Linked DNA regions of Oreochromis niloticus. The protein of the gene in region 2 purifies or fractionates together with the protein of the main gene of each other region. This does not show direct contact. Links are inferred from orthologs where the notes say so. Each region holds a gene or a part of one and is shown on either strand. Other genes may lie near its edges.

What was found.
Region 1: the proteins of histone deacetylase 2 (region 2) and hells purify together in Homo sapiens (affinity purification with western blotting; 3 studies listed by BioGRID, with this or other methods). This does not show direct contact. The link is inferred for Oreochromis niloticus from reciprocal best matches to the Homo sapiens genes HDAC2 and HELLS.
Region 3: the proteins of histone deacetylase 2 (region 2) and sirt1 purify together in Homo sapiens (affinity purification with mass spectrometry; 3 studies listed by BioGRID and IntAct, with this or other methods). This does not show direct contact. The link is inferred for Oreochromis niloticus from reciprocal best matches to the Homo sapiens genes HDAC2 and SIRT1.
Region 4: the proteins of histone deacetylase 2 (region 2) and ehmt1b purify together in Homo sapiens (affinity purification with mass spectrometry; 3 studies listed by BioGRID and IntAct, with this or other methods). This does not show direct contact. The link is inferred for Oreochromis niloticus from reciprocal best matches to the Homo sapiens genes HDAC2 and EHMT1.

The regions. Positions count from the first base shown.
Region 1 is NC_031978.2:31,195,234-31,203,065, forward strand, and holds the start of hells (lymphoid-specific helicase), read right to left. Parts: upstream 3,012-7,832; 5' UTR 2,614-3,011; coding exon 2,606-2,613; intron 1,996-2,605; exon of another isoform or gene 1,854-1,995; intron 1,652-1,853; coding exon 1,554-1,651; intron 1,293-1,553; coding exon 1,174-1,292; intron 819-1,173; coding exon 696-818; intron 606-695; coding exon 564-605; intron 482-563; coding exon 448-481; intron 1-447. UniProt on the Homo sapiens protein: Plays an essential role in normal development and survival. Involved in regulation of the expansion or survival of lymphoid cells. Required for de novo or maintenance DNA methylation. May control silencing of the imprinted CDKN1C gene through DNA methylation.
Region 2 is NC_031980.2:30,566,498-30,573,515, forward strand, and holds the start of histone deacetylase 2, read left to right. Parts: upstream 1-3,999; 5' UTR 4,000-4,138; coding exon 4,139-4,193; intron 4,194-5,719; coding exon 5,720-5,832; intron 5,833-5,924; coding exon 5,925-6,042; intron 6,043-6,319; coding exon 6,320-6,394; intron 6,395-7,018. UniProt on the Homo sapiens protein: Histone deacetylase that catalyzes the deacetylation of lysine residues on the N-terminal part of the core histones (H2A, H2B, H3 and H4).
Region 3 is NC_031978.2:25,306,135-25,313,201, forward strand, and holds the start of sirt1 (NAD-dependent protein deacetylase sirtuin-1), read left to right. Parts: upstream 1-4,046; 5' UTR 4,047-4,088; coding exon 4,089-4,494; intron 4,495-4,918; coding exon 4,919-5,041; intron 5,042-5,205; coding exon 5,206-5,441; intron 5,442-5,543; coding exon 5,544-5,696; intron 5,697-6,975; coding exon 6,976-7,067. Other genes in the region: dnajc12 (dnaJ homolog subfamily C member 12), read right to left, coding at 1,082-1,164, 2,049-2,193, 2,274-2,413, 2,683-2,761, 3,314-3,391. UniProt on the Homo sapiens protein: NAD-dependent protein deacetylase that links transcriptional regulation directly to intracellular energetics and participates in the coordination of several separated cellular functions such as cell cycle, response to DNA damage, metabolism, apoptosis and autophagy.
Region 4 is NC_031972.2:31,100,120-31,107,898, forward strand, and holds the start of ehmt1b (histone-lysine N-methyltransferase EHMT1), read right to left. Parts: upstream 3,022-7,779; 5' UTR 2,932-3,021; coding exon 2,842-2,931; intron 1-2,841. UniProt on the Homo sapiens protein: Histone methyltransferase that specifically mono- and dimethylates 'Lys-9' of histone H3 (H3K9me1 and H3K9me2, respectively) in euchromatin.

The DNA.
Region 1 (7,832 bases), on a different chromosome or scaffold from region 2:
ACATCCCTTTGTCCCCACTGTACATCGTTTAAACTGCACAGCCTGAGTATTGTGGATGACCACATTCACGCCTTTATGAACACAGTGTACCCACAGTGTGATTAAAGTGCCATGCCACAAATCTCAGATCAGTTTCTCCAGCATGACAGAAGTTTACTGTACTCAGATCGTCTCCACAGTCACCAGATCTCAATCCAATCTTTGGGTTGTGGTGGACCAGGAGAGCTGCTTTGTGGATATGCAGCCATCAAATCTGCAAACTGTATGATGGTAAAATGCCAGTATGGACTGTTTCCAACACCTATGCTAGAATTATGACAGAAAGCACAACAGGGTCCCAGTACTAGCAAGGTGTACCTAATAAAGTGTGCATAGAGTGTAAATGCTACTAAACAACTGACATCTGAGCTCCATACTGTAAGTTTAAATATTAGAATACTGGCTCACCTCTGTCAGCTTCTGCACCGTTGGCATTTTGCTTCTAAAAGGAAACAAACTGCCGTGAGTATGGCTGGAAACATGATTGTAACTGTAAATGATGACTTTTTCAATAAATCTATCACCTTCTTGGCTTTCTTCTCAAGTTTCTCCTTCCTGAGTCTCTCCTGAGATGGTCATTAGCAGAGCAGAAGTGACGTGTTAGCCTTGAGTGAACAGGTGCAAAAAGTCTGTACGGTCCAAATTTTACACCATACCTCATTCTGTTGTTGCTCCATTTTTGTCAGCAGAAACTTTGAATAGATGTTGCTCTTCTGAAGCAAATGCTGGAGCCTCTTGAACCGCATGTCATGCGAGTCCCTCTCCCAAGACTCCCTGGCCTTATGGGAAAGGTTGAAAGCAATTACATTAACATGAGTGGGCTCGAAAGCGTCCAGCACATCAGTGATGTAGAAACATCTCAATTGTGGCTCATCATCACATGAACTCCCTGATCTTGTGGACCGGTGAGCTACAGACACACATCTATACGCTTTTTACTCCCTAAAATCTGTACCAGCATCGCACCCACACAAACAACCCAACTAAAACTAATGTTTTACTTTTACTAATGTTTTAAAACTAATGAGTTTAATAATGAGAAGTTATTAATTTCAACATTTAATCTGATAAAATATGCCAGTTTTGGATAGTTTAAAAAATACAACTCCCACGTTGAGAAATTAAACGACATACCTTTTTCATCATCTCCTTCTCTTTCCTCTCGCCTTGCTCCATTAGCTTCTTCTCTTCTTCCTCCATTTCCTTAGTAATCACCACTTCAGGTGTTATTCCCTCAGACTTCATACTCTCATCTTAAAAAACAACAACAACACTGACAGTGACACGACCTGAACAAGTCTATGTGCACAGCATCTTTTCAGTAACACAAGTGTAAGATAATTAGCCTTTACTAGTTAATGAGCATGTGATATGGAGCCCTGTTCCTAATGAACTGGCCACATCTCATCAGTGTCACCTGAGAATTAAGCAACATGACAGCAAAGCACATGCCTCATCAAACTGGCTCTATCTCAGCTTGCTTTGCAGCTCTGTAGGTCAAAAATGGAACTTACCTTCAGTAGCACCAGTTTCAATGGCTGTGCCCAGCGGCTCCTCAGACTCGTCAGGTTTGGGGCAGTGAGGGGAGACACTTCGAGTTTCTTCTTTTAGGCTATCAGCAGAAAAATGAAATCTACTCAGTAAAACTTTTCCTGCCATTTTTCAGAGGTGAGTAAACACCATTTAGACCCTTCCTAGGCCCTGTAACCGAGGTGAAATGATACATTTGATTTGAAGGGATGAAATACAACACGAGTATTTCAATACTCTGCATATAACTTTGGTGCTAAGCTAATGTAGATACTATACTTTACCATACAGGATGCAGTTTCAGACAGTTTTTCTGTGCTGTCTGAAACGTGATAATCGGTGAACATCTGTGACTCAGAATATTGCAAGTTGTTGTTATAACTTCTGGTTAATTAATGGTGATAAAAAAAATCTTCCAGATCGCTGCAGAAAAGGGATGTATGCTATTTATTTATTTTTTCTCTGGGTGGGAGTTGTAAGGGTGCATTTGTCCAACACACGGTGGCCTTGGTAACAGTAAACGTGCATCGAAGCTTTACAGAGAAGAAAATGATACTTTATCGGAAATTGTAACTATTATGTTAGGAACGAGGAGACTCAGGGCTGCAGTATTACAGCGGGCATACTGCCGCCTTTGCGTTCACCTGTACAGGTCTTTGAGCCGAGTTATTACAGTGCACGTATGCTCCACGCGTCACACATGTGTCGCGTACCTCTCGAGTTTTGTTACTGGCGCGAGTGTACGATCGTGTCGGATTTAATGATATTCCAGCACAGCAGCTCAGAGACATACACATATACAGAAGGAGATGTTGGCGTAGGTGAAAACTTTAGTGGGTTTTTTTTGGGGGGGGGGGACACTGGACAAAGTCTTGGCTTCCGGTCTTGCATTCTCCTAAAAAACGCTTAGTGTCTGAGGGGCGACACCTACCGACGCATATCGTTCAGAGCCGTACTGCAGCGACTTCCTGCACCGTAAATAAAAGTTTCTGTGAAACGCGGTAGCTGCGGTGAGTGAAGCGACCATTACACTTACCAACTCATCGTTGTTGGCAGCGATGCAGACAGTCCAAATTATGCGGGTTCTTCGAGCTTTCTGTGAAGCTTTTCAAAGCGTTCCGTTTCTGCTCAAAACAGCAGAGCTTCGTCAATTACACAAGCAAGTTATCCAAACAGTCATACAACTCACTCTACCTAGCCTAGCTGACTGCTTGTATTTATGATAGCTGTGCAATGTCGGAGCAGTATGTCCGAAAATGTTCCTTTCTCTAAAACGTGAAAAAACATTCAACGAAAAGAGTTTGACGTGAGTACTCTGCAGCCCGAATAACGTGTTTTTTATTAAGCAGACAGAAATATGAAATGTACTTCCGACAGCAGCCTTTCAAACAAAAAGTGCGTCCGCGAAAAAGCTACGTTGAAGTTACGATTGTATTTTATTTTGAAGGCAAATTCATCTAGTTTCCGCCATTTGTCTCTACAGTCCTGAAGCTAAGATTTTTATAATGGGCGGAGCTTTCCAATTTCGCGCCATTTCGGAGGAAACCACTATTTGTGAAACGGGGTGGTGTGTGATTTAAGGTAGAAGATAATAACATTTTGGTTCACATTAATCGAAACGTAGCAAAAAAAAATTGTAATTAATTAACTAATAATTAAAAGGTTGTCTGATTTATACATTACAGAATATCGTATGTATAGACAAAACTATTTTAAGAGGATGGTCACCCCTCTGAGTGGAAAGATGTTTTATAACTGATGTGATTTTTCCCGCGAATGTAAGGCTGTGCAGTGAGCAAATGACAAAAAAAAAACCTCTCTCTCAGTCGGGAAACTAGACGGTTGCTTGTTTGCTGGCACCAGCTGTTTTTTATTAATAGTTTTAATCCCTCAGACTCAGGATTAAATAGAAGCCTTCAACAGTAATGATGGGAAATATTTTCTGCAGAATAACTGTTTATTTTGGATACAACCTGTCCATAATACATTGTGTAGTGAAGTATCTTCATAGTGTTTTAGCTATTCTTTTGCAAATGGAATGGTTTGCAAAAATATCCTCCACAACCTGTTGAAGCCGCTATGGTTGCCTGACATCCAAAACCAGGCCTCCCTACGCCTGGTTCTGCTGGAGGTTTCTTCCTTTTAAAAGGGATTTTTTTTTCCCTTCCAAGGAAAAGCACTTGCTCACCTGGGTCGTCTGATTGTAGGGTCCTAACCTTACAATAGAAACCACCTTGAGGCAACTGTTACTGTGACTTGTCACTATATAAATAAAATTGAATTTAAAAATTGAATAGTTGTATGAAACCAGTGACTTCAAGAATCAGGATTGGCCCTTCAGTTAGCCATTCAAGGTGTGTGTCATACATTAGCAGCTGGTTCATTTGTGCTTTCTTTAGCCAGTAGGTGTGAATCATGTCAGGACATGATATGATTTATACTCATTTATACTCACTGCAATGCAAATAGTTATAATTCTGAACAGCCCTCAACTGTTTGTATGACCAGCACCTTTTTATTAATGGTTAAGAGCATGAAAGTTATGTCTCTGACTAATTCATGCTGCAGACTTCAGATAAGTGACACAACCATGTAATATATACTCATTATTGATGAGCTCGGTATAAAACAGCAGTCCACGTGTAAATATTCAGCTACCCCAGGCTGTGTTGTTTTGCAGCCATACTGAAGTGGACAGTAGCTTTCAACACCATTCTTCCCTCAGTTCTGAAGGACAAGCTGGAGAACTCTGGAGTGGACCATCACCTCACAGCATGGATACTGGACTACCTCACCGACCGACCACAGTATGTGAGGACTCAGGGCTGTGTGTCGGACAGGGTCGTCTGCAGTACGGGGGCCCCACAGGGAACGGTTCTGGCTCCGTTCCTCTTCACCATCTGCACTGCAGACTTCTCCCACAACTCCACCCAGTGCTTCCTGCAGAAGTTCTCTGATGACTCTCCAATAGTCGGCCTTATCACTGATGGGGACGACAAGGAGTACAGAGGACTGACCCAAGACTTTGTGGACTGGTGCCAGCTGAACTACCTCCAGATCAATGCCAGTAAAACCAAGGAGCTGGTGGTAGACTTTCGCAGGCACAAACATCCTCCACTGCAACCACTGAACATCCAAGGTATGGACATTGAGGCTGTGGACAGCTACAGGTACCTTGGTGTTCATCTGAACAACAAACTGGACTGGACTCATAACTCAGACGCCCTCTACAGGAAAGGGCAGAGCAGGCTGTACCTGCTGCGGAGACTCAGGTCGTTTGGAGTGGAGGGCCCACTCCTGAAGACCTTCTATGACTCTGTGGTGGCCTCTGCCATTTTTTATGGTGTGGTCTGCTGGGGCGGCAGCATCTCTGCTGGGGACAGGAAGAGACTGAACAGGCTGATCCGAAGGGCCAGCTCTGTTCTACGATGCCCTCTGGACCCAGTGGAGGTGGTGAGTGACAGGAGAATGGCGGCTAAGCTGTCATCCCTGTTGGACAACATCTCCCACCCCATGCAGGAGACTGTGACAGCACTGAGCAGCTCCTTCAGTGGGAGACTGCGGCACCCACGGTGTGGGACGGAGAGATTTCGCAGGTCTTTCCTCCCCACTGCTGTCAGACTTCACAACAAAGACTTCAACTGATCAAACACACACATCCACACATGTGCAATAACACTAATGTGCAATACTCCTTTCTGGCATCGTTGTATTTTTACTCAGTTGTATATAGCATTTGTATTCTATTTTTATCTTATTGTATATTTTATTCTACTGTATATAGTATTTTATTTTATTTTATTCTATTCTGTACAGTTGTGTACTATATTTATTCTTATTGTATTCTAATTTTTGCTTCATAACTTTTGCACTGTCCACTTCCTGCTGTGACAAAACAAATTTCCCACGTGTGGGACTAATAATAAAGGTTATCTTATGTTTAACATTCACACAAAATCGCAGCATACAAAGATTCCTGGATGAACACAGCAACTAAATCCCAAACATAATTCACTTCATCTATCAGTGGCGGCTGCAAATATAGGCGTTTAATTAAAACATGTTTAGCCATTACATATAATTATACCTGGTGACACTGCTCCTGTGTAAATAAGCAGCTGATAAATGAACTTTGGTCCTTGAAGGTCTGACAGTTTGTGACTAGAGGCTTTAATCTGCATTGCTGCAGGATTTAGACCTGAACTAAACTTTCAGAGATTTACAGAAATCAGCAGACTCAATTCTGAGAATTTAGAGAACCATTTTAAGTTTTTATCTCCTACTACTGTAATTATCCTTTTCTCATTTTCTTGTTTTTAACCTTGGTTACTTTTGTTCATTTTTCTTCCATTTATCTTATTCTTTCATCTGGATTATATTTTGTTCATTCCCATTGTGCTTTTGAAATCCAGCTATTTCCCTCTTCATGTAAACTAGCAGTCAAAAGTTTGGACAACACCTTCTTTTTCTTTATTTTTACTACTTTGTACATTGTAGATACATACTGACGAAATCAGCTATATGAAGCAAGATACATGGAATTATGTATCAAAGAAAAAATGGATAAATAACTAAATAGATAGAAATATGTTTTATATTTTAGATTCCTGAAAGTAGCCACACTTTGCTTTGTTGACAGCGCTGCAAACCCTTTGCCTTCTCCCAATGAACTTCCTGATGTAGTCACCTGACATGGTTTCACTTCACAGGTGTGCCTGTCAGGGTTCATTTGTGGAATTTCTTGCCTTCTTAATGGAGTTGGGATCATCAGTTATGTTGTGCAGAAGTCAGGTTGGTAAACAACTGACAGGTTGAGAGATTCAATCAGCTAAGTAAAGAGAAACAACAGTCCATCATGACTTTAACTGAAGGTCAGTCAGTCCTAAAAATTGCTAAAACTCTGAATGTGTCCCCAAGTGCAGTTGCAATACCCATCAAACACTAATAGCAAATAGCTGCTAAGCTATTTGACCATAAAACCACGACTAAGGAAAAGCAACTAGCAGAAGAGATTTGTTTGGGCCAAGAAACACAAGGAGTGGACATTAGACCAGTGGAAATCTGTGCTTTGGTCTGATGAGTCCTGGCCTCCAGTCACCTGACCTAAACCCAATGGAGATGGTTTGGGATGAGATGGACCGCAGAGTGAAGGCAAAAGGACCAACAAGTGCTCAGCATCTGTGAGAACTCCTTCAAGACTGTTGGAAAACCATTTCAGGTGACGACCTCATGAAGCTCATGGAGAGAATGCCCAGAGTGTGAAAAGCAATAATCAAAGCAAAAGGTGGATATTTGGAACAATCTACAATATGAAACATGTTGAGGTATTTCACACTTTTCTGTTTACATAATTCCATCTGTGTTCATTCATAGTTTTGATGCCTTCAGTGAGAATCTACAATGTAAATAGTCATGAAAATAAAGAAAAAACATTTAATGAGAAAGTGTGTCCAAACCTTTGACTGAGAGTGTATATTATCTTGGATTTTTCTCGCCCCCCCCTCCAGAGGGACAGCTGAACCACAGTTGAGTCTGCAGATATTGCAAAGTCTGATCAGAAAGGCCTCAGTGTTCTTTTCTTTGCCGAGTATTTAAAATGACATGTTTTAGGGTTCAAATGCTTCAGCTCAGCTAATATTAACTGATGCTCCAGGGGTTCAGGCTACAGGTTATTTCAGGACAGCAAGTGGAATTCCTTACAATTTATGTGCATCCAGCGACACACACAATGACCATCGTGTTGTGACTTCTTCTTATCCAGAGTTTGTTTCAAACTGAATCCAGTCGCCTTTATTATGAAACGAACATTGTATTTTATATATGCAACTCAGTGTTCAGTATTGTGGTTAGACGCAGAAATTTGCAGACCCTGTGTTATCTGACAGCGGATATGCCATAAAACTTAAATAAATACACTTTTTTTTTTTTTTTTTTTTTTACATCTTACTAAAACTCCCAGACACATCCTCCCATTTCATACAGTCCAGTAATACAATATTTATTTTCAATTTAAGTGTTACATTTTGAGCAACCAAGTTACAGTTGTCTTCAGCCACAAATTTAATGCAGAGAAAGTGAAAACTGTTTCAATAATGGTTGGAACAAAACAGAACCAAATCTGATTTTACAGATATATACATAATGTTTATGTACATATACTGTTACACTACACTAAAGATGCTTAACAGTTGAGACACTGTTGTGCAGAGGTTTGTGAGAAAACCTGGAAAAAAAACAAAAAACAAAACAAACACCTTTGTATC
Region 2 (7,018 bases):
CCGGGGGCCTGCCATCTCCGGTACAGGAGGCCGTCGTGGGTCTCCAGGTTGTTGTGCTGGGAGTAGTAGGCCTTCACCTCGGGCTCCTGACCCGACACCCCCGTCCAGTCTGGGCGTTGCGCCGCCTCCAGCCAGGCCCCCACCTGAACCAACGTCGCGTCGGCCTCCTGCTCCCGCTTCAGCTGCTGCATTGTCAATGGGAGCCACCCCCCTCCGCTGGCTGTGGCCTGAGCAGTAGCCACCCCCAGCACCTCCTGGGCCCGCTCCTCCTGTTGCAGACAGTAGCGGCACTCGACGGCCATGCAGGGCCGTCTGGAGAGGGCATCAGCGTTGCCATGCTGCCGACCTGCCCGATGCTGGATCTCAAAGTCGTAGCCCTGAAGGACCTCCAGCCAGCGGGCCACCTGACCTTCTGGGTGTTTGAAATTCAGGAGCCAGGTCAGAGATGCATGGTCAGTGCGCAGGAGGAACCGGCAGCCGTGCAGGTATGGCCGGAAGTGCCGCACCGCTAGCACTACGGCCAGCAGCTCCCGCCGGGTCACGCAGTAGTTGCTCTCGGCTCGCCCCAGAGCACGGCTGAAGTATGCCACCACTCGTTCTCCAGCCTCGCCCTGCTGGGAAAGGACCGCCCCGACTCCTACATTGCTAGCGTCAGTGTCCACAATGAAAGGTTGCCGGGCGTCGGGGTAGGCCAGAACTGGGGCTCTGGTGAGGGCCTCCTTCAGCTGTGCAAAAGCCGCAGTGCAGGCATCACCCCAGCCAAACAGCTGGCACTTGTCAGTCAGGCGGTGGAGGGGGCTGGCCATCATCGCAAACCCCTTGATGAACCGACGGTAGTAGGAGGCTAGGCCCAGGAAGCTCCGCAGTTCTTTGACGTTCGAGGGAGTCGGCCAGTCCCTGACCGCAGCCACCTTTGTGGAATCGGTGGCGATACCTTGAGCGCTGATCACATGGCCCAAGAACGTAGTCTCTCTCGCCAACACCCGGCACTTCGCAGGGTTGAGCCGCAGCCCAGCTCGACGGATGGCGCTGAAGACCTCGCTCAGGTGAGACAGTGCACTGTCGAAGTCGCCACCGTGCACCAACAGGTCATCCAGGTACACAACACAGCGGCTACGAGGGATGTTCACGAGCACCCTCTCCATCAGCCTCTCAAACGTCGCTGGCGCATTGCAAAGCCCAAATGGCATGACCCTGAACTGCCACAGCCCCTGTCCAATGGTGAATGCAGTCTTAGGCCTTGCTTCGGGGGCTAGCTCCACCTGCCAGTAGCCACTGCGTAGGTCGAGGGAGCTGAACCAGCTGGAGCCGGTAACGTAATCCAGGGCCTCGTCGATCCGTGGAAGCGGGTACGAGTCCTTCTTGGTGACTGCGTTCAGACAGCGAAAATCCACGCAGAACCTCAGGCTGCCATCCTTCTTCACACCAGGACTACGGGTGCCGCCCATGGGCTGTTGGACGGCTCGATCACCCCAGCCGCAGCCATCTCACGGATCTTTTCCTCCGCCACCTGCCGTTTGGAGAGGGGCAGCCGGTGCGGGTGCAGACGGATGGGTTGAGCAGAGCCGGTGTCGATGGTGTGCTGGACCAGCCCCGTCTGCCTGCAGTCTTTGTCACTGGCGGCAAAGATGTCCACATTCTCGTCCAGGAGGCACCTCAACCGCTGGCGCTGGTCAACGTTGAGACCTACGCTGCTGCGCTGCCACAGGTCACCAACAGCCTCGGTTGTCTCGGTCGAGGGAGATTTGTCGGGCTGAGAGGCCGGGGCTGAGGTGAGTAGAGATGACCCGGAGCCACCAGCACCCGAAATCTGCTGAGCGGCAGCCGCCCGACGCCTGTCTCGTCTGGCTCTGGTTCCCTCTGCTCCCTGCTTTTGACCGCACTGGAGGGCAAGAGTCTCTGTGCCAAGAGTGATAGCCCGCTTTGCGGTGTCGACGCAGGCCCCCCAGTGGGTCAGCAGATCAAGGCCGATGATGCACTGGTCTTGAATGTCAGCAAGCCAGAAGTCATGCACCAGCTCCAGATCCTTCACTCGGACCCGCAACGGTTTCTTCCCCCGCATATCAGCCCTCTCACCCGTCACCGTCATCAGCTGGGTGTCGGTGGGCGACCAACCCTTCACCAATGGCCCGGACGTTCCAGGGAGCACGCCAGGTCGTATCAGGGAAATGGTGGGGCGAACATCTCCTCCATGTTTGGGGGGGGCACCTGCTGGTTAGGTTGCGAGGTGAACACCAGCTCGGCCCTCTCAGCCTCAAGGAGCGCCTCACAGAGAGTTTGAGGCATGGCCAGGCGGACGTGTTGGCATAGTCGCTCTGGAAAACGTCCTCGCAGAAAAGCATGCAGGCTAAGCTCCTCATGGGCTGCTGCTGGGAACTCCGGGTAGCCACGACGAGCATGCAGCAACACGTCCACTGCAAAGGTGCCCAGGCTCTCCCCCGGCCGACGGCTCCGGTTGGTCAGCTGCTCTCTGCTCTGATCAGTGGAGTGCCGCTGCCCGAATCGCCTCTCGAGTGCTATGGTGAGGGCCTGGAGCTCATGCTGCTCCGACGGGGCTAGGTCAAGGAGTACCTGCAGTGCATCTCCTTCCAATGCTAGCGCTAGGTGTGTAGCAGCCTCTTCGTCGCTCCAGACATTATGCCTCGCGGCTAGCCGTACTTGTGAGAGGTAGGGCTCTAGCGGGGTTAGCCCGTTGTATTTCGGTACCTTAGCTGGCGTTGCAGGCATCACTGCTCGCTGTCGGGGGCTCGGTGTGTCGGTCGACAGAGGCAGCCCATGAAGCATTGCCCCAGCGTCTGTCGCGATGGGCCGCCGCTGCGGTGCGCTCGCGCCGTCGGGACCCGTCGGGGGACTTACATGGCTGCTCGCTTCCTCTCTCCTCGATCGCCAGCTTCCCAAGCAGCGGATGCTCTCCTCGACAGCTTGCTCCAGCCTCCGAATGTCTCTCTCCATTATGGCGAGGGTGAGCAATCCCACTTCTGACACCAATGTGGCGAGCTCAGACACGGAGGAGACAGAGGTTTCTTTGGGAGCACCCGTTTATTTACAACCGGCCCAGAACACTGCCGCTACCTCCCTCCTCAGCGCGGCAACAACAACATAAGAACAAAAAAGGCGCTCTCTCCCCGAGAGAGCGCGTCACTCATCACTATGACAACAGAAAACAGAACTATAATAACAAAACCCCTTAACAACCCTGACCCGCTACAATATCAATATTTTTTTTAAAGTAAAAATGTCTGCATTTGGAAAATGCAGGGGCAGTGGAGCAAAAAATTTACACACTACACATATAGTCATATATATCAGAGATTTCTACATTGGCATTGATTGCGTTGTATCTGAACAGTACTGTACAGGATTACCGGTGCACAAAGAATTTGGAACCACTTATGTCAAGCTATGAGAGGATTCTGTCTGCCATGATTTTCTTTAAGTGGACATTTCCCCAACTTTCACTATATAGATATATAATGTTCAGATATCAGACTTGTTAAAATGTGGTCTGGTTCTCAAAAGCCTTCCACTCAGATATAGCTCCATAACAACACTTTAACTGTGGATAAGAAGAAGAACTGATTAGTACTCTTGTACAACCTGATAAGTTAACAGCCCCAGCTCTGCCTTAAGTCCATGTGCAAATCTATACTGGCTTTTTTGATATTACTCTCTTAAAATTCCTTTAAAGCGCAGAATAAAATCAGGGCATTGCCCAAAAATGACTTTTGTGATATCTAGCACAATGCAGGAAATCAGAAAATTCTCTCTGGGATAAATATGCAACCAAACCAGGTGAAAACTGGAGAAAAAAAAATCTAATTCTAATTCTATTGCATGGTAGTAAGAAATTAATTAATGTAAAGGATAAAGCGGTGGAACTGAATTTTATGAAGCGCGTTTTTACCATGTTTCACACATCCTTGAAAGTCCATTTTACCATACTCTGGGTTGAGTGGGACTCCTCGCGGTGGGGTAAGTGGCCTACCGAAGTTGTCTGACCCGCCCCTCCCCGCCGAAGTTGCGCCTCCCATTCACCGACTTTCCGCCGTGTGTAGTTATGTGTTGATGCCGTCCATCCCATCTTCTGTCTGCTCAAGCACATTCAAACCAACTTTTTATTTCTAGAGGAACTTTTAAAATGGCTTACACGACCGCAGGTGGGACAAAGAAGAAGGTCTGCTACTACTACGACGGTATGGGACATCCTGAGCGTGTGAATGGGGAGCCCAAACTGAGCCATCTGGCAGGCTAACGCTAGCCAGCTAGTCAGTGTAGCTGCTGGTGAATGGTGAAAATAACACTAGCAAGCTAACGAGTAGGCGCTAATGACCAGCGTTTGAAAGGTCTCCGCGGTGCAAAGAGAGTATTCGTGTGTTAACTGTTAAAATGAGTAAAAGTTTTAAAAAATCACCTTACGTAAACCGAGCCAGAGAAAAGAGGAGGGCTTCGGTTAAATTAATGTTGAGAATTAGCGACACAAGCATTCATTGTCACGATTGTATAACTTTGTGCACGGGCTTTGTACACCTCGTTACCTCTGTCAAATCAAAATGATTAGGAACTGATGAGTCGACGTCAGAGTTACATTCGTGAAAATAATAAAGCAAAATGTGCCACTGTTGCACACAATTAAGTGCTCAGGCCTTATTAGAGCGTATCACCGTGTTGTCTAACATCACACTATCTCATAAGAGAAACCACTTATTTGTATTCCTCGTGTACAGGGAACATAGTTACAGTGTCTTGTCAGAGGTTTGCAGAGACTCGCAGTAAAAACTAACTTTGTTCACACATAGCCCTGCATTCAGTTTACATGTACTAGAACTCAACCGTGCATTCAGTTTTCCTCTGAATGTTTAACAGTCAAATGCTGTGTTATTGTTGTTTTTATGTTGCTTTTTATGTCTCACTAAACACAACAACCCAGTTGTTTTTTTCTCTTTTCTACTGTCCGTGCTATTCCTCTGAGGTTGCATTTGCTCTTGCACCCGTGTACTGGGTGGTTGGCTACAGCCTCGTGAACTTTATACTTTTTAATAATATTGGCAACTGAGATCAGGAGTTCATTCATAGTCTGAAGAAGGTGTAGTGAGCTATTGTAGGATAACTGCATGTGCAGGTAAAATTGAAGTAAACATCACTGTTTGACCTGCACAGTCTTGTGATCTACTTCTTGGTGGTAAGCAAACATAGTTTTCCAGTTACATTAAAAATGCTTGAATGATACTTATGGTATTACACCGTGACTGATCTTGCTGTTGTTGCCCGCTGTTGTTGTTTTGAGAAAAACTCTGTTCGCTTTCCTTTTCTGTTATTTGCTGTTCTAGCATTATGCTTGTGTCATGCTAGTTGTTAAGTTAGCAGCCACAGAATATCTCAAAGATTTAAAACAGCTAATACCTTAACATATGGGGGTTTTATTTGGTCTTTTTGTTTGGTGTTTGTGGTCACTATTAGAACAGGAACAGCCAATAATTAAGAAGGGGGAAAAAAGAAGCACAGTGCACACATTTTGCATTTTGTCAATTTTGATGAAAAATACAAAATGTGCTTTTTTATAGAATATGTAAATGAGTGACTGTGACTTGGAGTGTAAAATCTCTTTTGTTGGTCAGAGAGACCCTGAAAAGCATCCATTTTTATTTTCATTCACAGCTTCAATTAATAATTATTATCGGATGGAAATGTGTTTCTCATCTCGTTCCTTTTGTCTTTGCAGGTGACATAGGAAATTATTACTATGGACAGGGGCACCCCATGAAACCACATCGTATCCGGATGACCCACAACTTACTTCTGAACTATGGACTGTACAGGAAGATGGAGGTCTATGTATGTTTTCCAAGCATGTGACACTAAGCATACCGTAAGTTCTGGCCTTCCTTGTTGTAGTTTCCACCCAGCTGGTTTGTCTTGTGTTTCAGAGGCCACACAAAGCCACTGCAGACGAGATGACAAAATATCACAGTGATGACTACATCAAGTTCCTCCGATCCATACGACCAGACAACATGTCAGAGTTCAGCAAACAGATGCAGAGGTGTAAGTCATCGTGTCCTCTTTGGGACATTACAGAATTTTGTAAACTATTCCAAGTACGGAATACAAGGAGCTCCTCTGCTCTTCTGTTTCCATTCATACTGCTCAAACTATTTACTCAGCCAAAGAGTGTAATTGTCTGAGATGTGAACACTGAACAGTCAGGAAGTTGTGGAGTTTTAGGTTATGGTGTATGAGTAAGAAAGTTCTGTAGTAGGAATTTTGAACACCTTCCTGTTTTGGGGTTTCCTATTTATTTATGTATTTATTTACTCTGCAGTCAATGTTGGGGAGGACTGTCCGGTATTCGATGGCTTGTTTGAGTTCTGCCAACTGTCTGCTGGTGGTTCAGCTGGTAAGTTGTGCTAATGATGAATCAGATGTTGCTAAGCGGTCATATAAAAGGTCTTGATAAGTCAGTTGAGTCAAGCTATCTGAATGATTATGTTAGAGATATACTGTAAAATAGATACTCAGATCCTAACTGATACTAAAACTGATGATCGGATTAGTTACTCATTTATAGCAGTATCAGTGCCCACAGTGCTGTCTTTGCCTCTGCCAGCTGACACACTACTTCCCACAGAGCCACAGCAGACAAGCAGGAACATGCACCACGTGATGACATTCACAACACTCACAATATTTTGTGAGGAACATCAGGAAGTCATAAACCTCCTGTTTCAGCGACATTGTACCTATCTGTAACAACAGTCCTGCCTATTTGTAACATTAATAGACGCTGTCAATTTAACAGAATAACACAATTATTTGTATCTAAAAAGTCTTGTGGTTCTCAGTCATTTCTACATTGTATTTGGAAGGATAATATTCCTAGAGACATGACTGTCATTGGAATAACAGGTCAGGATTGAATCCCCTACAAGACCCTATAATAATGAATACTAATCTTGTTTTGCGTAACTTTGTGAACCACCTTTGTAATCCTGAGGATTTGGTGGGACTCCTGAAGTTCCCT
Region 3 (7,067 bases), on a different chromosome or scaffold from region 2:
TTTTTAACAGCTGCTTTTACAGGTAATCTTTATTTTTTATTATTATTATTGTTTATTTTAATTGCGATATTTAACCATATTTATATTAGCAAGAGCACCAGAAAACATAACATCAATCATGTGTCTTTTTTCTTGATTCCGACTCCCACCTTAAAGATTTGAAACCCTGTGTTCACTTCATATGGTTTGCTACTGAACATTTAAAATATATGTCTTCTGACAGTGCAGTGAAACAAACTAAACAATAAGTGATTTTATATCTTTACAAAATAACATATTATATTTAGCTATAGACCACAAGTTGTGACTTCCCTCTGATAAAGGGTGGGTGTAAATATGCTGTACTAAAACACAATTGTGGAAAACTTAAGGCTTCTATTCAAAGAATTAGTTTGGCCTCAAACAAAGCTGAAGAAGTCAGAGAATAATACTAATACAAACACACATACATTACAGCAAACAATAAGATCACGCACAATCATGCCTCCACTGTATGTTACTGAGAGAGATACATATATATGTATTCCATCTCACTGCGCAATAGACTGCCTATAGACTTCATATAAGTCTATTGGGCAGTTAGATGGAACTCGTCTCACTCAAATGTCTCCAGATCACAAAGTATACATCTGGAAGACATTGAGGGAGACATTGTAAGAAAAAAGACAAATTTCTTATGATTCGGTGGTAAAATGATAGCTGAAGTAACATTTTTCTGGCTCTCTTTTTCTGGTGGTTAATTAGTCCTCTATAGCCCTCCCATTCACCTGAATGAGGAGATATTAGTGACGACACATTAAATAATTCAAACATGACAGAAAAAAATGAGGAAGCAATTTGGTGCCAGAATGCTGTCTTTACAACAAACTGTAGGGAAGGTACACACCAAGCAAGAAAAATAATATTAATATTAAAGTATTTAGCCAAACATAACATATACCTGACAGTTAGCTTTGCAACAGTGAGACAGTTAATGATGTCACAGCTGCACAACACCTAAACATACTCTATAAAAGCTGGCATTACAATAAAATGGTCCCAAGTCTAGCAACACTTAGACAACATGAAAGTTTTAATATATTTAGATTTCATAATTTCGGAATTTCCGCAGCAGATTAGATGGAGAGTCACCAGCCCAGCGGAAGCGTCGATGGCAGAAATCACCTGCAGCAATGATAAAAAAAAAGTCACTTCACTTCCCTTTAAGCAGTTCAGCACTTTTTAAACAGCTGCTGTTTACTCTAGAAGAAATTCACATGAGGAACAGTTCAGATCCTTCACTGAGTACTCAAGCCTGTTGTGTACTCGGCTTGACTATAAGCTGTACTGATGCTTGTGGAGGAAAGTCCATAATCATACCTGTGTTTCAGCTATAGTAATACTGACTTGCAAGTGTTTATCCCAGAGGTTATGACTGACTTCTAACTCTAAAAATTAGTTGGGGAACAAAGTCCTTACAGTGCTCTTTAGCGGCAAATATTTGAAACATTTTGTGGCAGTATTATAAAGGAAAAAGGAATCCACAGCGAGCTTCTGTAGAATCTCAGGAAAACAGCCCTGTCCTGTCAGCCCTGAAGACTGATGCTAAAAGCTAGCTAAGAGGAAACTACTAACAGGGTCTCACAGCCAAGTTGTGAATAATTGCTGAACCTGAAATTATAACCAAAGTAAAATGAAATCAGTGCTTTAAAGTGGTAGCTTTGAAGTGCAAAATGCAAAACCTCACAAAACACTGGGTGGGCGTGCAGCCCCTCTTTAATATGAGCACTAAAGAGCTCCTACTTTTATATTCCATGAGGTTAATATAAGAGCAGAGAAGCTCTTGAGCAGCTGCTCTGAATATCCATTGCCTCTCTGCAGTGAAATTAGATCGAAAATACACCAAATCACGTCTATCATACTGGTATCAATTAAACGTTTCTCACGTCTGACTTTCAAAAATAAGGATCCTATGGCACTGACCACTTCCTTACTTGTATTTTGTGTGTTGTTATGTATTGCTCTCCAGCAACATCTTGCTTTAAAGAATCAGAATAAATTTCAGTTACCTGAGTATGTCGTGCTTTCACACGAAGATTTCCCCGTTTCCTGTTGCTCACAGTGAAAGCTCTCTGCTTGTGACGTGATGGGGTCTTCTGGTTTGGAGGCCTCCAACATTGGTTCCTTCTTATTTCTCACAGCCCAGTGCATTGACTGTAAACAGATTAGCAGGTTTTTTAAGCGTCAATGATTGCACAGTGTTTTGAAGAATCCAAAGTGAAGACATTACATACAGTTTTCACTGAGTCGTTCAAGGCCTGCCAGTCGTGAAATGGGATCATAACTCCACTTCTTTTCCAAAGATCATAGTTTTTCCTTTTGTTTTCATCACATAAAACCTCTTTGGCTTCCTGCAGCTTCTGGAAATCTGCCACTTTCACAACAGAAAAAAAGGGGTTCTAATATAAAATTAAAAATTAAACAAAACAATTCACTGTGTACAGCTGTAAGCATCCCCTCTATTAGCATTATTTGCTTTGAAGTTAAGATGTCAGAAACAGACATTAGCTATGTAAGAAAAGTGTGAATTAAGAGGCATTGAAGCGGTAATAACACACTTCGTATTACTTTATTGCTTCGGTCTATGAAAAAAAGGTTATATGAAATATGACTCACACACAGTTAGTGGTGTGTGTGCATTACCTGCTCTTGGGCTGTCGAGGTGTTTGTCTGGATGACATGCCAAGGCTCGAATCTTGTATTCATTGAGAATCTGTTCGGTCTGCAGGACAACAAAACAAAACAAACCTCATAGTCTGATGTGATCTAATCAATCAGATCGATGTTATCTTGACCGTGTTATTGACTATTTGAGACCCTCAGCTCTGCCAGTCTATGACTGTTGCTGATTGTTGAGTAATATATTGAGTGAAAATTGGCGATCACAAGACCGCAGTGGATATGTGTGTTGATGTTGCTAATCAAAGATTTATTTTAGTAAGATACATTTAAAAAAATCACACTGATTCCATATCTAATCTAGTTATACACAAATGAATTTAAATGCTGGCTGGCAGACACTGGATGACGCACGACTAGTTTCACATCAACAGGTCTCAGTTGGTTCAGCCTAATCTGAGGCACACATACATTTTTATTTTTACATTTTTTGGCTCAGCAGTGTACAGGCTATTGATCGTTGATGTCTCATGTAGTATTTTATGTTTTTAACCCCCATTTCTCCCTAAATAATTACTGACTTATAGATCGAGACTATATCCGTTCAGCAACCCAGCAAATAGTCTGAGCCTTAAACCCACTGACCAGAACTTACCGATGACAGTTCATCACATCCCAGTAACCCGTAGTAATCCTCCAAATCCTCAGGTTTACAGCTCAAAACAGCCTCCATAAAAATCTGTCGGAGAAGCACGTATGGCTTCTTTTAACGGACCACAAATGCTGCTGAACGTGATCACAGCTGATCAGTTAAAGGGTTGCCAAAGGGTTCCCCCTCTCACTCACTCACTCACTATAACCAACTAGCTAACTACTAACTGTTAGCAAAGTTTGTCTTAGTATGGTTTTGTCAGCTAGCGTTAGATTTCAGGGATTATTAAACTGTTGAAATTTTCAAGGGAGATCTCTCCTGAGTTGTTGGGAGAGCCCAGCTGCCCCTTTTCACCGTATGACGTATGATGCATTCAAGGGTCTTGATAATGGTCCTGCTTACTAGAAAATTCGTTTATTCATCTGGCTAAGAAACAAAGGCAATGGTAGCTTTAGGAAATTAGAAATGTTATATTTTTATGTAGTAAAACTAAATTTCTTTCACATACTTAAGGCTTGTGTGGCAACGAAAAAAGAAAATGACAGATTTGTAACTGGGGCATTAATTAAGTTTACAACGACTACACGTCAATATAAAATCGTTTATATTTACGCGAAACACATCACCGAAAGGCTTGAAAGATTCGTGAGGGCTAACCTATGATTAGAAATCATCCGACAGCACTTGAAGGCAACAATATTTGTTATGGTATAATGTCAGCGACGTAGAGGGGGGCGTTTCGCTCGGGACTACTGGTGGAGAACGAGTCACGTGTGCTATGCAAATGAGCCAGCTGTCCGAGAGGAAGGCTCCTGCTCAGCGGCTCTGCGGGCTGAAGATGGCGGACGGAGAGAACAGTCTGAAAACGGCCTTTTCGGGCGCCTCCGATACGGGGGAACCTCACGCTAAGATTTCGAAAATCAGTCCAGGGACTAACTATGGACTGAAAGCCGTCGAAGCGGACCAGTTCTCGTGCGTCTCCGCGGCAACTGAGAGCTGGGAGGCGGCGTTGAATTGTGCGCAGCCCGCGGAGAAGGAAGCGAAGCCGGTGATGGCGGTAGAACAGGCCCCGGCAGCGCTAGGCGGAGACAACAATGGACTGGAAGTATTGCTCTCCGAGACTCACAAGCCAGTGGGGAAACTTGACGACACCGCTGTCTTTGGCGGAACCGAGGACAGTCCAGGTATAAAAAAGAGAAAAAAAAACTTTGAGTATTTGAGTGACTTTCAGTGAGAAAAATTCTCTTTGCCAACTTAACCGGTGAGCTAACTGGCTCCATGTGAAACAGTTAACTTAGCTAATGTTAAATACAGTAATGCTGTGTGGGTGTCGAGAACTCCTGTACTCCTAAAAACGGGAACTTTTCCACTAAATTATATTTCGCTAACTCTCTATCAGTGATCCTGTCAGCACAAGTTTGTCCATTTAACTTTTTCATAACCACGCAAAACTTTGAGAGCAATTTGGCGTTTGTTAGCCGGTTGAAAGTTCACTTTGAGAGGCTGTTTTCACCGATTTACTTTTGTAACGGGTCATAGCAGTTATTAAAGAGAGTCCCGACTTGTATCTAGTCATATTTAGTTAAATTTCTCCATGTCTGTACTTAGATTTTCTTGGGCACGATGATCTTCCCTCCAACGGTTTGGCTGTCACTCCAGAGCACATCACTGAAGACGATGACAGGTCCTCACATGCAAGCTCCAGCGACTGGACTCCTCAACCGCAAATAGGTAACTAACATCATTAATAAACTACAGTATCTTAGATTACGCCACTTATGATATGTATTTAGTGTTTATCTATATATTTAAACCACATAATAATTGTTTGCATTGCACAAGTATGTGTGTTTTGGAAATCCAGCCATACTGAGATGTTATGTTCTTGCTCGCAGGTTCCTACAGTTTCATCCAGCAGCACATTAGAGAGACAGATCCAAGGGCCATCCTGAGGGATTTGCTGCCTGAGACTGTACTCCCACCAGATTTAGATGACATGACATTGTGGCAGATCATCATCAACATCTCAGAGCCTCCAAAAAGAAAGAAGCGGAAAGATATTAATACCTTAGAAGATGTGGTCAGGCTACTACATGAAAGTAAAAGGATCCTAGTGCTGACTGGTGCTGGGGTATGCATTTTTTACTTTATCATGTAGCTCTACTGTGTAAATTCGATTTTTAGTATTAGTGTTCATTGCATCTCTTTATTATTTTTATTTTATTTGTTGTAGGTTTCAGTTTCATGTGGAATACCAGACTTCCGCTCCAGAGATGGAATTTATGCACGGCTTGCTGTAGATTTTCCAGATCTTCCAGATCCTCAAGCTATGTTTGACATTGAGTACTTCAGACGGGACCCTAGACCGTTTTTTAAGTTTGCTAAGGTTGGTGTTACACAAACAATAGAATAACAATTTGAATGCTCCCTAACAAAGAATTAATAATCTTAATCCAAACCATAAATCTCTTCATGTAGACCACTGCAAGGTCTACATGACTAGAGGATTATGCACTTTCATTCTGTGAAAGGGTGTTGACATTTAGAAAATATAATAAAGGGAAACTACTTAAATGTAAGCCGCTTCTGAGTTCCTGTTAAATTTTGTAATGTTGTTTAATACGGTGCCCCACACCCCCATGTTTACACTGACTTTTAAATGGAGAATCAGAGCCTGTTTTTTAAGTTAACTTAAACATAACATAATGTTCAGTTAAATTTGACCCATTTTGACATTTGGCAACAGTAAAGAAAAAAAAAACATATGTCTTTTAGCTTGAAATTGTTTAATTTTCCGAAAGTAACTTAAAATTTTATCACAAGAACTGTTTGTGTTCCCACCACATTTGACCAGGCCCCTGCAGAGACGGGAAATTTAAAAGATCGTGGGGAATTCTCCAAACAGTAAAATAGTAAAAGAACATAGGAGTGATCATATAAGATGCACAAAAAAACAGAGGCTATACAGAAGTCAGAGGGTCCCTTATCACAGACACAATATCTGTAATAGGGTGGGAAGGCGGTCCATATACAGGAGCATATCGTGGTATAGTGGGTAGCACTGTTGCCTCACAGCAATACTTTTCCTGGTTGAAAAAAGTGCTTAAAGTTCAATAGCTGTGTGGGTGTGTCTTGTAAACTTACACAGGATTTTATGTTTTTATCTTCTCTCTTAAGCACATTGTGTTTACATATTAATAAATGTGCTTCATGAATAAAATTGCAATTAAGTACACTGAATAAAGTGCTGTATGTATTAGCTAATAGAGATTAAAACAGATCTCATAATATGGGTTGGGTCATAACATTACAAAAGGACCTGAGCTGCCATTTCAGTGAGTGTGGAAAACTGATGTGGAAGTCCCACACATGCAAGGTTTCCTAGCACTGCTTTGAATGCACAGACTAGTTTGCAATAAGCATTTTGTATATATATTGTGTTCTAAGTCAGTTAATACTGCACCCTGAAAAATGTTTTAAATTGTTTTAAAGATTGATCACTCATTTATTATTATAAAATATATTCAAGCCATACTATGAGGCATGAAATATGAACAGTTATTAAGGGTTTAAATATGGTCCAGAAAAGCCATGGTGGGGGTATATGACTATAGCAATGTTTGCATTTTCTTCACAAGTACTGAATGCATAATTTTATATTACAGGAGATTTACCCTGGGCAGTTTGAACCTTCTCCCTGTCATAGATTTATATCTATGCTAGATAAGCAAAGAAAGCTGCTGCGCAATTATACACA
Region 4 (7,779 bases), on a different chromosome or scaffold from region 2:
CTAATTGTTGGGTCCTAGAAAGCCTTCATTAAAAAGCTGTCCAGGATAAATCTATTATTATCCATTATAACAAAAATGTGTTTTTGAAAAGACCCCGTAGTTAAAAATCCTAAAAAGAGACTGCTAAGCCTAAATTATTTACATTGAGTTAATGCTAAGTAAAACAGAGTCATCCGAGAAATAATAAAGACAATCTCAAAGACGTCATCAGTGTGGTATTTTAAACAAGAAATAAATTTATGTTCTGAGATGGTCACATCACAGGAAAATGTTACACTAACTACCCAGATAAAGAATTTAACTGCTCTCCAAAAGCTGATAAACACTAATTTCACTGTGTTCGTTTCTGGCTGACCTCCAGAGAAGAAAGGACTACTGTTGCTAGCTTCAGTCCTAGAAATAAAGTCCTGGTTGAGATCAAGTATACCAGACCTGGGATCTTCAGTAGAGAAATAGCTGAATTATATCAAGGTCTGTCACAACGACAATGAACCAGCCAAAGGCAGAAAACAGAGTGTTAATAAAGCTTTAATATTATGAAACTCTGTACATGCCTGTGAATTAAAAGTTATACATCTCTCCCCCTTTATCTAGATAGATGCTTCAAAATAATTGCCTAAGGGCATTGCCAAGTGGCAAAAGAGGGACTCTGGTTAAACATCACTTGCTTGCCGATGTCAGTGCTAGCAAAATACCTCTAATATAAAAACTGTGAAAATGCTAGCTAGATACCTTGCCAAAGTGTGACAACACCTTGGCAATAACCACAAGGCAGGGACTGTTAACCAGACAGCTATAAGTCAGCTATGCAAAAAGCATCTGGCACGTGTAGCTTCTTCACACTCAAGTGGACCATGATGCCTTTACACTAATCAGTGTTACTGCACAGACTGTGTTTCAGAGAACGTTCAAAGTATGCTGTCTACTCAAGTATATTTAGTGAGACGTTTAAACATTCATTTTTTATTGATCCGAGAGAACCAGGCCACCTGTGATCAAATCAATAGTGGACAGTAGCCCTTATTTTGAAAGTTTAGTTACTGTTAAACACCTAGCTATGTTGCTTCCTGGCTCATGTTTTGAGTCAAACCACAGCCAACAGCAAGTGTAAAGCTCCTACACTGAGACAGCAGAGCAAAAGGATGACAACGAGCTGCAGTCAAAGTCTGGAGAGGATTTGAAGTCTATCAGAAGGATGATAGACTCAATGGAGAGGCAGCTGATCAGTTTGTTCTGTTATTTGTCACACAGTACATTCTAATATGTTTCTTATCCAACCGCTTATCCTCCAGTACAGGCTTTCGGGGGATCTGGAGCCTATCTCAACCATGACAACAGGAATAGACTAGTGACTTGTCCAGAGTCTACCTGGACAGGTCATAAAGTCTATGTCCCAGGGCTAACCCACAGACAACTGTTCACACTCACATTCAAGCCTGCTGCTAATTTAATTGCCAAATAGCCTAATATGAATTTTTTTGGACTGTGGGAGGAGTACCTGTAAAGGACCCACCAAGCACAGCTAGAACATACAAACTTTACACAGACAGCCCACAGCTGACCATTTGATTTGGACCCAGGATCTTGGGCAACACAATGGTATGGTGTAGTAGGGATGTGCACAACTAGTTGTCTATGAACTAATCGTTGCTACTGTAACTAGTCAGTACCAGATGAACTAGTAGTTTGATGCCCAATGTCGGTAAACTGCTGTGTCCTAAATGTTATGCAGTCATCTGCCACCAGGTGGAGCACTGATGTTGAGAAATTCCATAAGTCTATTACTCTAGGCCTGATCTTTTTGTTAACATCATTGTCATTAATTCTTTTAAAGTTGAAAGAATGAGATTGCAGATACAAGCAGGGAAAATGAGCTTTCTCTAAAAGGTGGATGGGCTCTCCCTTACTATAGGGTAAGGCGTTTAGTCATTTGGTAGAGGCTGAGGATAGCCCACTACTCCGCTACATCGAAAGGAGCCAGCTAAGGCGGTCATCCCCTGGGTAAGGTATTCTGGTCTGGCATGTCCAACCGGGAAGCAGCCCCAGGGTAGATCCAGGACACGGTGGAGAGATTACGTCTCTTGAGAACACCTCAATGTTCCCCGGATAAGCTGGAGGAGGTGACTGGCAAGAGGGAGGTCTCTGTGACCCAACTTCAGATAAGTGGCAGAAAATTGATAGATGGATGAGTTATCATTTTGTCATTTTAATTTTAAGTTTAACTGAAGTGGTTGTCTTGAATTTTAAATCGAACAACATGCACCATTCATAATCCAGAGCACATTTATAAGTTTTCCGGATATCTGGATCTGTTTCGAGAATAGACCGTATTGTTCATAATCCACGATGCGAGGTGCTGCTCAGTTAAGCAACATGATTCATTATTGATGAATATGATTAATAGTTTTCAAATTTTATTAACAGTTTTCAAATACTTGTGTAGAGTTTTTGAAATTCTCAAATTTAACTTGATATCTGAGTGTTTTAGTTTCAGCATATAGCACATGCAATAACACAACAGTGCATCATCAGTGAGCATGTGCACTGAACAAATCTATTAATCAAGATGCTCAACAGCTGCAGGGGTCAAATAGTACCAACAACTTACTACAAATACAACAAAATCCCTACAACAGCATAGACCATGTTATAAGACAATGAAGACCAAATGAAACCTGTTACATGCATATATTCAGAATAGGCACGGCTTAGACACAAAAAAATGTAAACAATGCAATATCAAATTTGAATCAATAAAAACATTACCATTTTACCATATATCTTATTTGAAAATGTATCAATACACCTTAAAAAGTCAATACCACACATCTGTTATTTTACCTTAATAGATGACTTCATGGGCTTTAGCGTGTCTGCTTTTTTGAAATCTTTAGAATATTTGTCATAAGTGTGCCTGCTACACAGAACCATTTGGCAGCATCACGATTTCCTTATTAAGGCAATTTCATCTTGACAATATAAAATCAACCACAGGAGCCCAAAGCACTGCTCGACATTTGTCCAAGGCTGTTCTCCGACGTCATCTCCTGTCTGAATGAGACACAGATGTAACCAGTGTACACTAAGTAAAGAGGAAATTAGAAACACCTGTACAATATAATGCCAAGCCCCTTTCACCCAGCTAAAGACCTAATAATGGAATTGGCAATGGCCTAGCGTTTGTATAGTGCTTTTCTAGTCTTAAGCTTTGTACTTGAAAGTAGGGCAGGGCAATGTGGCCAAAATATTTATCAGTATATATATATATTTGAAAATCTGCGATAACAATATAAACTGACGATATAATTGACGTGAGACAAAATACTTTACAACTCCACAACTTTATTAGTGCAAAAAAAAAAACCCAAAAAAAAACCAAAAAAAAAAAACCCATCAGTGTATTTTCACTTAAACAAGCAGCTGTTTTTTTATGTGCAATAAAGCTATATAAAATTTAACAGTGCAAATGCAAATTCCTTGCTGACAGTTTAACCAAAAGGCATTTCCAGTGGAAACTGGCCAACATATCCTGAGCTTAACCATGTATAATATCCACAAAACTTAAAAGGAGGTTTACACACACAATACGGTAATATTATGTTGACGCACAGTACGTATTACTCTGCGAGGCTCCTGACTACAATAGCTGTAATGCTCCAACAATCCATCAAGCGTTACGGCTTCGTAACTTACGAAAGTCGTACTAAAACATTTGACAGATTTTTTGAGCGCCGTGTACCACATAAGATCGGTTCGAGGTCAGTAAGCACAACCAGAATTCACAGATGAGGCACACCAGATTATAAGGGGCACTGTCAATTTTTTTAGAAAAATCAAAGGATTGATTTTAAGTGTGCCTTATTTTCCGAAAAACACGGTAATAACGACGGCCTGCTGGCATGCTCTACCAAAAATTGTGCTTTGGTGTGTATCTCACGGACGAAAGCCAAACCAGTTCCACACCACTGAAGTTGCACCATTTTTACAAACCAATTCTGGTTCATCTGTTTCATACAACGATCCGCTTTCGCCCTTCTCATTCTCTGTTGCTGCCATGCTTTTTCCGACATGTGTGTATGAAAGCAAAGGCACTGCGCATGCGCGTTTTACCCATATTCTATCGCGATATTTCATTTTCTCATCATTGCCTAACATTATACCGGAATTATCGTGAACGGTATGATATGGCCCAGCCCTAGTTGAAAGTTTACCACCAGGAGACATTTGAATATCCAGCTGAGTGGGTAACCCTCCAATATACATGCCAGTCAATGGTCTCCTTCACTCCCATTGGTAAGACACTTCAATCGCTCACCTGTCGTCAACTGAAGTTGCTGAATGTCACTGATATTCTATATTCTCCTAATATATTTATTCATTTATTTTTTTTTTTAAACAGAGTATAAATCTAAGTGAGTGAACCTATTATTTCAACAGGAACATGTTTACTGCATGATGTTTGTTAAACAGTGGATTCTCTTAGCTTTAAATGTAATTCAACTGAAAATCAAATAAACATGACACAGGTTCATTTGACAATGAGTTGGGCCGGGACTAGCGGGTCTTTTTGACAGTGAAGCCCATCTCGCAAAGGCAAGTAGATTGCTGTCAGAACCCCCCCCCCAAAATACCCCTCTGTCTATGCAGAAGCCTCTGGGAAAACCAACTCTTGGCTCATTTGCTCCATGACTTTGTAAACACTCATTGTAAGTGTCAGAAAGAAGGACTTAGGCTATAACTCATGAATCACAAGCTGTTATTCAGTGTGTGGTCTCACCATGATATCCATCCATCACATATCACGTATAGGTTCAAAACACAAATAGCCCTTTTCCACTGGTACCTACTCGTCTCGGGTTTTCCACTAGGTGGTAGCACCTAGTACCAGGTACTTTTTTTTATTACCTACTCAGCTGGGGTTCCACGTGATCTTAGGCAATCCGAAAATGTGACATCAACAGTCTGCATGCTACCGACTGGCTATTCAGTGGCATCACTCGATGAGTCATGAAAGAGTCTCTCTTTTGAAAATCAAAACCACTCTTATTGAAACTTCGCAATGACGGGAATGGGTGCACAAAGAAAGAATACCGTAGTCCCCAAACAAAAAGTCATACACCAACCAGCAGGTATACCGACGTCTTGATGTCCTCCATTGTTGTGGTGTTGTGTCGCATACAAATGATGTCACTGGACTTTCAGCTGCGTTTCTATAAGGACCCCATGCACACTAAATGGTACTTGATTGTAATGGAAAATGACTGTGTGGCAGGGCATGGTCTATGGCGCAGGTGCAGGGGAAGCAGACACACCTGACCGCCATCTGCAATCATCGTTTACAGTGGCACCAAAACCCAGAAATCGGGCATGGCGAAACTGCGACTGGTGCTAAACCAAATGGTGGGCGAGAGAGCGGAGGGAGCAGGTGGCGGTGTTACGCCGCCAGTGGGAACAGCTGCAGGACCGCAGAGTGCCGGATGCAGCTGTTGCAAGTCTGGCAGCTTGGATCGGGTCCTGGCTGACACTGCCGCCTCCCCCATCGGCATCCCTCGACCGTATGGCAGTGGCTGGTGTCCGTTCTGCTCCGGCACCCCTTGCCAGTCCCCAGGGTGAGGCCAGCCAAGGCACAGCCTACCTCCGCACCAGTACGGACTCCTCAGGTGGGAGTGGCTAGTACCCGGCAGGTGCCTGTATCTGTTCCTGTTCCCTGGAGGAGGGCAGCCGAGCAACCTCCACTTCCACCACCTGCTCAGCCCAACGTGGTGGACAGCGTGCCAGAGGGACCTGCTCTGCCAGAGCTGGGGATCGGGGCGCCAGAGGGACTTTATCAGCCTGAGCTGGTTGACAGCATGCGGGAGAGTCCTGCTCAGCCAGAGCCGGAGGTCAGAGTGCAGGAGGGACCTGCGCACCAGCTGGACCTGCCTCGTTTCTACCAGAGGCCAGCGTGCGGTGGGACCCTGCGTGCCGGCCGCCTGCGAACCTCGGCTCACGTCCACGACTGCTGCGCCAGCGGCACTTGCCACTAGGGCTGCCACAAACGATTATTTTGATAGTCGACTAGTCACCGATTATTTTTGCGATTAGTCGACTAATCAGATCATGCATCCATTGGACGTAAAATGTACACCTGAAAATATGTTAAACGTTTATTTTGTGACCCAGAAAGAATAATAATTGTAATATTAAAACTAACTAGCTGCCGCCATTGTTGACAACTGCGCTGGGCCGCGCTATGAATTCTGGAACACAGTTTCTTCTTCTTCGGGGTTTAACGGCAGCTGGCATCCTTGTACATGCAGTGCTGCCATCTTCTGTTTCAGTCCGTTATTACACTCTTAAATACTACTACTTATTCCTGCGTCTTTTGGGATCTTACAAAGCTTCAAACGACGCGTCGACTATTAAATTAGTCGTCGACGATTTTAATAGTCGACGTAATCGTGACTAGTCGACTAATCGTGGCAGCCCTACTTGCCACACAGCTGAACCAATACATCCCTGCTGCTGAATAGGTTCGCCCGGATGGCTCCCCGGCCTCAGTTAGGCGATGGGGGTATGTGGCAAGGCGTGGTCTGCAGTGTGGCTGCAGGGGAGGCGGACACACCTGAGCGGCATCAGCAATCACGCCTCACCGGCTTAAAAGCAGAATGAACTGGGTCCTGTTGTTGTTAGTGGTGTGTTTAGCTGGCAACTGAAAAGCTGCCGCCATGCGCAAGTTATAACAACTGGAAATAACAGAAAGTGCTGAAAAGTGTAAAAATGTGGTCAAGTCTGCCATGCTTTGTTTACAGACTGAAACCATGTCGAACCAAGCAGGTGGGGAAAGGGCTATAAAATTATGAAAACAATCAGCTAAAGGCTTCATAATAGGCCGTCAAACAATCGAAAAATGTCATAACACAGATGGTGCTGGCTGAAAGATCTCTTTTAGTCATCTTTGCTCGAGCTGAACTAGGTCTGAGCCTCTGGCAGGGTTGAAAGCTTTGTTATTTTGGTTTTCATAATCATTGGAAGCCAAAACATTAATTTACATTAAAATTGAATTAGTTGCCCTGCCTGATCTTTACTAGAGATGGACCGATCCGATATTAGGTATCGGTATCGGTCCGATACTGACCTAAATTACTGGATCGGATATCGGCCAGAAATAAAAAATGTAATCCGATCCATTAAATATCAAAAAAGCACCTCACAAAACTTGCGACACGGTGTAACTCGGCTCATAACCGTAGCACATCGGAGCAGTGTGCTCACTTGATAGAGCGGCTGTGTGTATTTGTAGCCTCTACCAAACCAGCATTTCATCTCCGAGGAAGTTATCCCAGAGAGAAGTAAAGCAAGTGTGTAAGTTCATCTCTGAATGTTTGTAAAGCGTTCCCACGTTAAGCTTAACAACCGATATATGGAGCGACTGCCTCTCTCCCTCCCTCTCCTGCCGCTACTTCATGAAACTGCTTAATGATCAGCTGATCGGCTTTTCTGTCGCGAGTCCGTCTCTCTTCTTTGTTTTTGGCACACTTTGCACCAGAAAGAGGAAACCAGCGGCTGAACAACAGCAGCACGTTTAACCTTGATAAGGTGTCGTTAGAATTTATTTAATATTACTTTCTACACCAGGATCCTTTTCTACGTAGCTGACGGACGGCTGGTAACTGTGCAGGGGCGGATCTAGCAAAGTTTAGCCAGGGGGGCCGATATGGCATTAACAGGGAAAAGGGGGCACAAAGACATACTTTTGCTCCTTATTCTCATTTAAAATGTCTAGCTTTTAATAAATAA